2 linked regions of the Ovis aries genome follow. The protein of the gene in region 1 purifies or fractionates together with the protein of each later gene. This does not show direct contact. Links are inferred from orthologs where the notes say so. Each region holds a gene or a part of one and is shown on either strand. Other genes may lie near its edges. The genes, in order: cytochrome b-c1 complex subunit 7 and cytochrome c oxidase subunit 6B1.

Region 1 (4,553 bases):
TTTAAATGAAGGTATCAATGTCCTTGTAAGGGATACAAAAGAGCTTGCTCTCTCCACCACGTGAGGACACAGTAAGAAAGGCACCCTATACAAGCCCCAGGAAAAGAGCTCTCAACTGAAACTGACCATTCTGGTGCCTTCATCTTATGCTTCTAACTGGAAAGAACTGTAAGAAAGTAAATTTGTTTTTTAAGCTACCCAGTCTATGATTTGTTACCATACACTGAGCAGCCCAAGACAGTATTGGTGCAGAAGTTCATCAGTAACTCAGTAAGCATCAAACATCGTAAACAAACCCGACTGTTTTGTCTCTAGGGTATTTTGTTGTTGTTGTTGTTTTAATACTTTTAAATCTCTTTAATACACCTGGAGTTTATTTTGATAAAAGGTGTAAAGAGATGGTCTGACTTGTCCCCTGGGCCTGTCTCACCCACAAATTAACCAACTATTCTGTTCTGCAACCTTAAGTAAAATTCTTCTACCTCAACAATTTGTGATCCTGCTGTCCCTAGTTTTTTACACTTTAGACTTAAGTTGGACTGAAACCTTTAAAATGTACTTTTACCTTAAAATTGCATTAAAATTCTGCTACAGTTCAAATTTAGTATTAAATTGTTCTTCTCAACAAGACTATCACTGAAATGGCTTGATGTAGAACTTCACCTGGAGAAACTGAAGGTGAGAGAGGGTTAGTTTCCCCTGGGTCAGTGGTGTAGCATATGGCCCTAGGATCGCGGAGTGCCAAAGTTGTATCTTTGGGGCTTCCCTGGTGGCTCAGTGGTAGAGAATCTGGCTGCCAATGCAGGAGACACAGGTTCGATCCCTGGGTCAAGAAAATCCTGTGGAGAAGGAAATGGCAACCCATTCCAGTATTCTTGCCTGGGAACTTCCAGGCACAGAGGAGCCTGACTGGGCTTTAGCCCATGGGGTTGCAAAAGAGTCAGGATTTAGCAACTGAACGACATTTTATCTAGAGTCTCAGATTCTGGAAGGTGAATCTGGATTCCTCCTAGTTTAAGTGCCCTTAGACAATTTACGCAACCTTTCAGAGCTTCAGTTTCCTCTTCTCTAAAATGGGTACAATCACCGTATTTATCTTATAGGTTTAGAATGAAATTAAAATAAGTCCATAAAACGCTTAGCGTGTTGCTTGACACAAAGGGCGCAGTTATTACTGCCCAACCTCTCAGAGATCGTCACTAACAGAAGCCAGGCTAAAGATCTGGTGTTCTAATTCCTTGCCTGCGTACGTGCTAAATCGCTTCAGTCTTGTCCGACTCTTTGCGATCCTATGGACCTCTGTCCATGGGATTCTTTAAGCGAGAATACTGGAGCAGGTTGCCATTTCCTTCTCTAGTTCTAATTCCTCGCCTAATGTTTTTTCCCACCTTGTCGCAGGGAACGTGTCGCGGTTCCACGCCTACGAGATTAGCATAATCGTGACCGACAGGTGTACGTCCTCAGAGGCCAAAGGCTGGCCGCCAGAACTGCGCCTGCGCGAGCGTCTCCCCGCCCTACGCGCCGCACGACGTGACGCAACGCGCCTGCGCCCTGGGCCCTGCTCGACCTCTAGGACTTACCCAGGAGGCAACGCTTCTGTGTCAGGTCAACATGGCGGGCCGGCCAGCTGGTAAGTCACGGGCGGCCTGCCTGGCGGGCATCGCTGCGCTGAACCTTTTATACTTGCAGCAACTTGCTCCTCTCCCTGTGCTCGGTCTAAAAGGGCAGGTTTATGGCGGGAGGGAAGGAGGCGGCTCCAGCCCACCTTGGGCCCACCCCCATTCCGTCTCCAGGGCCGGCTGTTGGTGAAGTTGTCCGCGGTGGCCCCCATAGCCCTGGCGCTCCGGATGCTCGAGCTCTGAGCCCTTCTCCTCTCGACCTTAGAAGAAGTTCAAGGGCACCAGGAGATAGTGGCTCTCAACCGAAGTGAACCGAGCGTTTACTGTGAGCCAGGCGCTGTCGTGTGCGTTAGCTAGGTCCGTTCTGTCAGCGCGAGGAGGACAGTGTCAGTTTTCCTTGTAGGCGGTAAAATAACTGAGGCGAAGTGGCCGGAGGAAACAGGATTGGAAGCCTCGCTGAACCTCTCTCGCGCTTCTCAAACGGAATTTAGAGGCAGCTGAGTGAGTGAGGGTTACGGCGAAGCTTCAGTTTAATAACCTTGGCTTATCTGGAACATCCACTTGGTCTTTGGATTTGGAGACATTTGCATCTATTCTAGGTATTGGAACAGATGTGTTTATTATGGAATAGAACGCAGATATTACTGGAATATTTAAACAACGTGAAAAAATACAGTCCTCTCCCCGCTCCTTCCCCACCCCCCCTTTTTTGTCAGTCCCTAACCCGCCTGCCAGTGCAGGAGACGCGGGTTGGAACCCCGGGTGGGGAAAGATCCTGTGGAGTAGGAAATGGCAACCCTCTTCAGTATTGCCTGAAAAATTTCATAGACAGTGGAGGCTGATGGGCTACAGTCCATGGGGTCGCAGAGTCGCAGGCGAGTGAACACACACATACCTCCTAGCTTTTTTAAAAAACGTTGTTCCCTATTTCGGTACCCCCAACAGTTGTGAAGCTATTAGGAAACACCAGATTGCCAGAACAATTCGTTAACCTAAATGACATTGAGCTTTTGGGGAGTGGCGGAGACATTTAAAAATTCATTATTTCCTTAACTAGACAACTACTGAAGACATTGTGCTTCAGTGCTGTGTTTGCAAACTACATAGACCTGGCCTCAGCTCCATCACTGGCTGCCTCTGATCTTGGATGGGATAATTCATGTAATACTTATTGCTCTTTTGCAAGGACTTGCGGGTTGTAAGTAACTCAGGCATGGGAGTAAAACAAATAGAATAGTGCCTGGCACACAGTAAGTGTTCAGTGGATATTAAACATTATTACCATCACTGGTAAATATGTTTTCAAGTAATTCTCTCCTACAAATGTGTCTGTAGATTGTTGACGATTTGTTGTTATTTTAGAAGCAACATTATACACCTGGTGCTTAATTTCCAAAGAGAGTTACCAAAGCTGTGATGTCTAAGAGGTTGAATCAAAAGAGAGTTTGTTTTCCTTCCTTGGTTAGGGACTATCCCTAAGACAAAATTTTAAAAGAAAATTTAAACTTTCCATACCTCCCTCTCTGTACCACATCTCTCCTGTAAACATCAGACACTGTCATGTTGCCTTTAACTCCTACTGGGTAACCCATCAAGCTCAGTTCTGTTTCGGAAAGAGTTTTAACATTACCTGTTTCTCCTCATACGCTTTGAAATATTCATTCCCTCCAAGGAAAGTTAGCTGCTGGGGAAGAGGGAAATGTGCTTTTTTTACTAGTCCATATGGGATCAAAACCCTCCCAGAAATACATACATTTTTAAAGAGAGTAGCCAAGTGAAATAAAAGTAATGTAAAATAAAAGTTTTGGAAGATGGGGGTCATTTAATCTGCTAGTGTATCCTGAAATCTCATCTTTTCATACAACTCCAGCTCCCTTGAAAAGTTATTAAAAGAGTTATTTCCTGTAACCTGTTTCTGAAATTGCAAATGATGGAGTTTCTTTTCCGTCCCCCACTCCTTTAATTCTAACAGCAGCAAGGGGACATGATGGAATGGGATGCTTGACTTTGAAAAGCTGGAGTGGCAGTACAGTTGGCCCTCTGTATCCACTGGTTCCACACTGGAGAATTCAGCCAACCTCCTGATGGAAAATATTTTGAAGAAAAAATTTCACAAAGTTCAAAAAAAACAAAACTTGAACTTGCTGCTCTCAGCCATCTATTTATATAGCATTTATTTTGTATTTACTCCTATTTACATCGCTCTTACATTGTATTAAGGTGGCAGTGGTAGTAAAGAATCCCTCTGGAGACTCAAGAGATGTGGGTTTGATCCCTGGGTTGGGAAGATTGCCTGGAGGAGGAAATGGCAAACCCCTCCAGTATTCTTTCCTGGAAAATCTGAGGGACAGAGGAGCCTGGCGGGCTACAATCCATATAGGGTTGCAAAGAGTCATACACAACTGAGCAACTAAGCACAGCCCAGAGAAAATTTAAAATAGGAAAACATGCTTGGATTATATGCAAACACTGTACTGTTTTATATGGGAGACTTGAGCCTCTTGGAGTTTGGTATCTGAGGGGGATCCTGAAATCAGTCCCTTGCAGATAGTGAGGGACTGTAATCATACCTATAGGTCTTTCAGGTGTTTGAGTTTATCCTTTTTCCTTACTGTCCAGTTTTTACCTGCAGTCACTTTTGTTGATAGACAAGGTAAGCAGTTTTTACCTACAATATATAGAGTATATGCTTTTAAAAGAAATTCCTTCCTGTGTTTGCATAGGAAGTAGGATTATTAGCAATTAATAGTCTGACTTATCAGTTTCAGCATCAAGCAAGTGGCTGGAGGGTATTCGAAAATGGTATTACAACGCTGCCGGGTTCAATAAACTGGGTGAGTATTTGTGCTTCTTATTTTGTTTTCTTCTTCTTCTGAGTATAGTGCTTTTGTAGGAGTTAGTATGGATCCTCAGAATACATGAACTATTCGTACC
Region 2 (4,484 bases), on another chromosome or scaffold:
GACGTCACCCCCTTTAGCAGTCATTGCCTTCTCACAGCGGTGAAAGTCTGTGAAGAAAAGGGATCAGGGTCAGCCCAGACCAAGAGCTGGAACATATTTCTGATCAAAACTCACAGAAATACTTTTTACTTCACAACCAGTTACACGAATCCCCCACACTCCCAAGTTTCACAAAGAAAGTATATCCTTACAAGTGTAGTACTAAAAAGGGCTAGACACACCACACTAAGCTTATTTTGCAATCCATAAAGTACTACTGTCTGGGACTTCCCTGGTGTTAGGAATCCACCTTCCATTCATTACAGGGGACCTGGGTTCATGCCCCGGTGGAGGAACTAAGATCCCACAGGGTAACGAAGCCTAGCCTGTGCACCACAAAGGAGACCCGGAGTAGCCAAGAAAAAAAAGAAAAAGAACTACTGTTCAACTTGGAACTTCTGAGTCAGGAATAACAGGGCAACCTGAGAGGTGTGTGTAGGGATTATGGAAGTCCTGAACCAGGACAAGGGAAGGGCAAGATGGTCTTGATGCTAAGATGCTGGCATCCAGGAGAGGAGAAAGGAGGGGGATAATCTGGTTTTTAATAGTAGGAAATTAATTCAAAGATTATTCCAAGTATTACACTCCTGGGCACACTCCCTAAGAGAGAAAGCATTCACAAAGACATCAAATTACATCAATCATAGCAGCATCATTCATATGAGCCCCAAACTGGAAACCACACCAGTGTTCATGAATGAAATGTTGGAAAACTGCACACAATAAAAATGAGAAAAATATATGCCACAGCATGGAAGAATCTTCATAACTATTGAATGAAGAAATCCAAGCATAAGACAACACACAGTATTTCTAAAGTTCACAAAGAGGCAGACCTGAAAGTGGTGATAAAACCAAAATATGACTGCCCTAGGTCTGTGGGGTTACAACTCTGGTGGGGAGAGCAGAGTGTTGCTTTCAAGAGACGGCATGCAGCAGACAGGGGAGCTCAGGGGACTGGCAGTATCCCATTTTCTATCCAGATTATAATCACATGGAGGATTCAATTTAGAGTTATTGATTTAGCTGTACATTATGGTTTATGTACTTCCTATAAGCATGTTACATTCCATACAGATAGACATATACACATCTTGGGGGGGGAAATGACTATGGAATCCAAAGTTTGTGACCTTAGGTCAAATCTTGAATACAGGAGGTGATGGGTGGCATGGGCCCCGTGAAGTAGGATGTTCAGAATTAAAGAGAAGAGGCGATGAGGAGGTAAGAGGTAAGTGTGGGATCAGGGGAAGGTCAACATTGCCCGCCTCCTCCCCAAGTCCTGCTCACCCAGGTAGTTCTGCCAGCAGTTCCTGGTCTGGTTCTGGTTGGGGAAGCGGCTGTCAAAAGGAGCAGTCTGGTAGTTCTTGATTTTGGTCTGGATGTCTTCTGCCATAGTGTCAGCACTCCTGGAGGGAAACAGAGTGGATTGTGGCAGAGGTCCTGGGGGCCTGGACAGGGGGCTGTCAGCCCACCCAGGCCCAGTGGAGACCTGACAGAGAAGAATGGGCTGGGTGTGAACAAGCCAATACCCCCTCCCTTTCAACATACAGATAGAGGTGAAGGGCTGGGCAAGAACACATTAGTTATGGAAGTCACAGCAGGATGTGTCGGGGTAGACAACTGCTCGGTAAAAAAAAAAACAGGCCAAAATAACACTAGTTGATATTCACTGAGTGCTTATTATAGGCAAGGAAGCTTTACTCCTAAAGCTACTCTAAAAGACAGGAACTATTACTATCACTGCTTCACAGACAAGAGACAGGGTGTTTAAGCAACTTCCCAAGGTCATACAGCACACATGGAGTGGAGGTGCACTCCCACCACTAACATAACCTACACTGCAAAGGTTCTTAATCTCTATTGGTGCCATGAAGTACTCAGGAGTCTAATGAACCCTTTCTCCAAATATGTTTCAGGGCATTTAAAAATGGCACAGGATCACAAAGAAAACCAATTACATGTAGCTGAGGATTTATGAACTACCACAATTTCAAAATAATCACGCCTGAATAGGGTCATGCTGTGAAATCTGCAAACATAATGGGATATATGATATGATGACCTGTCATTTTCACTGCTGATAAAGTCACAGATGATGCCAAATACTACCGCTACTGCCTCCATTCCCAAGCGAAGGAAGAGAGTTCAATGAGAAACTGGCAAAAATACAGACGTAAATTTCCCTCCATTCACGTACTAGCATCCCATGAGTTCCATCCATTCTGCGGGCCTAGGGATAAAAACCTGTCCCATAATCTTTTATGAGGTGACAAACGGTTTTCATTAGGAAATCTGACACCGCCTCTATTCCAGATTATTCGAGGAGTCGTGGTATTACATATAAGTTAACCAGACCAGTAATAAATTCAAGTGACCCAAGGTAGTGGTAAGGATTTGGGGCACCGGAGTAGTGTCTTTCCGGGAGCAGAGGATGTAGAACACTAGAGGCGGGGACAGACTCGGTCGGAAGAGTTGTTTTGAAAGCCATCTCCACCTGATTTCGGGAGTAAGGATGGACTGGGGATGACGCTGCAGCCCCTCGAACGTGCAAGGGGCAGGGGGTGAGGGTGGAGAGTCACCAAGAAGCCAGGCCAGCCAAGCCTCGGGGGTCAGAGACCGGGGAGAGAAACGCCTGCGGCCTGGTGATTAAGAGCAATGCAGTCCTAATGATTTCAAATCCTGATCGCTAGCTAAACTGCGTAGTATCTAAGCCTCAGTTGCCTCCTAAAAGAGATAATCACAGGCCCTATCTCAGAGAGTTGGAGGGAAGCTTAAATGAATCAATATAAATCGCTTTGAAAGTTCTAGACATCCGAGAAGAACCAAATAATCGTCAGATTGAAACGACCCCAGGGCTCCGGGAGGTCAGCCACCGCAGGCTGGAAACCTCATTTCATTTTCTAGTAGGGATCCTCAGTCCTCCAAGATGGGGTTCCAGGGTCCCAAGCCCTCAACACTCACCTAAAGATGCCCCTGAAGTCGCTGGAAGCTCAATGTGACCCTCAGCAAAGACGCCAGTACCGGACCGGAAGCGGAAAAAAGGTCGGCCGGAAGCGGGACGGAGCAACGCACAGAAGAGTCTTCCGCACGGCCAGAGCGCCGTCCCTGAAGCAGTTCGGGCCACGCCCATATTGCAAATTCCAACCTCCTATTGGGCCGAATGCCTGTTCATCCTCATTCTGGGCCCAATCGTAACCTTGCGTGGCACTTGTTAGGTACCTTTCCGAGCTGTTGCAAGCTGTGGGCTCCGTTCCAAGGTATTGACCCGGCCTGGTCAGCTCTCTGTCTTTAATAGAGAAAGGGGTTCTGGTTCCTGGAGTTGGCTGTTGAGTGGTCCTGCGGAAAATAGTCCAGCAGAAATGCTCTTATTTGTGCAAGAATTATTTATTGAATATTTTACCCAGTGCCAGGTGCTTCTATTGGTGGCTCGGAGGTTAAAGCGTCTGCCTCCAGTGCGGGAGACCCGGGTTCGATCCCTGGGTCAGGATGATCCCCTGGAGAAGGAAATGGTAACCCACTCCAGTATTCTTGCCTGGAGAATCCCATGGACGGAGAAGCCTGGTAGGCTACAGTCCGCGGGGTTGCAAGGAGTCGGACACGACTGAGCGACTTCACTTCAAGCATAGTTGAACTAAACACAAAAATCTCTGTGACTATTATGGGGCCAATTGTTAGTATGAAAGTGAAAGTGGCTCAGTCGTGTCCAACTCTTTGCGACCCCATGGACTTTCCATGGAATTCTCTAGGCCAGAATACTGGAGTGGGTAGCCTTTCCCTTCTCCAGGGGATCTTCCTGACCCAGGAATCGACTGTTGTCTCCTGCATTGCAGGCGGATTCTTTACCAACTGAGCTATCAGGGAATCCCAATTGGTAGTTTCAGTTCAGTTCAGTCGCTCCGTCGTGTCCGACTCTTTGCGACCCCATGAATCGCAGCACGCCAGGCCTCCCTGTCCATCACCAACTCCCGGAGTTCACTCAAACTCACGTCCATCGAGTCGGTGATGCGATCCAGCCATCTCATCCTCTGTTGTCCCTTTCTCCTCCTGCCCCCAATCCCTCCCAGCATCAGAGTCTTTTCCAGTGAGTCAACCCTTCTCATGAGGTGGCCAAAGTACTGGAGTTTCAGCTTCAGCATCATTCCTTCCAAAGAACACCCAGGACCGATCTCCTTTAGAATGGATTGGTTGGATCTCTTTGCAGTCCAAGGGACTCTCAAGAGTCTTCTCCAACACCACAGTTCAAAAGCATCAATTCTTCGGTGCTCAGCTTTCTTCACAGTCCAACTCTCACACCCATACATGACTACTGGAAAAACCATAGCCTTGACTAGAAGGACCTTTGTTGGCAAAGTAATATCTCTGCTTTTCAATATGCTATCTAGGTTGGTCATAACCCTCCTTCCAAGGAGTAAGCATCTTTTAATTTCATGGCTGCAATCACT

Evidence for each region.
Region 2: the proteins of cytochrome b-c1 complex subunit 7 (region 1) and cytochrome c oxidase subunit 6B1 purify together in Homo sapiens (affinity purification with mass spectrometry; 3 studies listed by BioGRID and IntAct, counting the BioPlex papers as one, with this or other methods). This does not show direct contact. The link is inferred for Ovis aries from reciprocal best matches to the Homo sapiens genes UQCRB and COX6B1.

The regions. Positions count from the first base shown.
Region 1 is NC_056062.1:80,894,220-80,898,772, forward strand, and holds the start of cytochrome b-c1 complex subunit 7, read left to right. Parts: upstream 1-1,598; 5' UTR 1,599-1,611; coding exon 1,612-1,630; intron 1,631-4,381; coding exon 4,382-4,453; intron 4,454-4,553. UniProt on the Homo sapiens protein: Component of the ubiquinol-cytochrome c oxidoreductase, a multisubunit transmembrane complex that is part of the mitochondrial electron transport chain which drives oxidative phosphorylation.
Region 2 is NC_056067.1:45,681,641-45,686,124, reverse strand, and holds the start of cytochrome c oxidase subunit 6B1, read right to left. Parts: upstream 3,076-4,484; 5' UTR 3,004-3,075; intron 1,449-3,003; 5' UTR 1,436-1,448; coding exon 1,330-1,435; intron 48-1,329; coding exon 1-47. UniProt on the Homo sapiens protein: Component of the cytochrome c oxidase, the last enzyme in the mitochondrial electron transport chain which drives oxidative phosphorylation.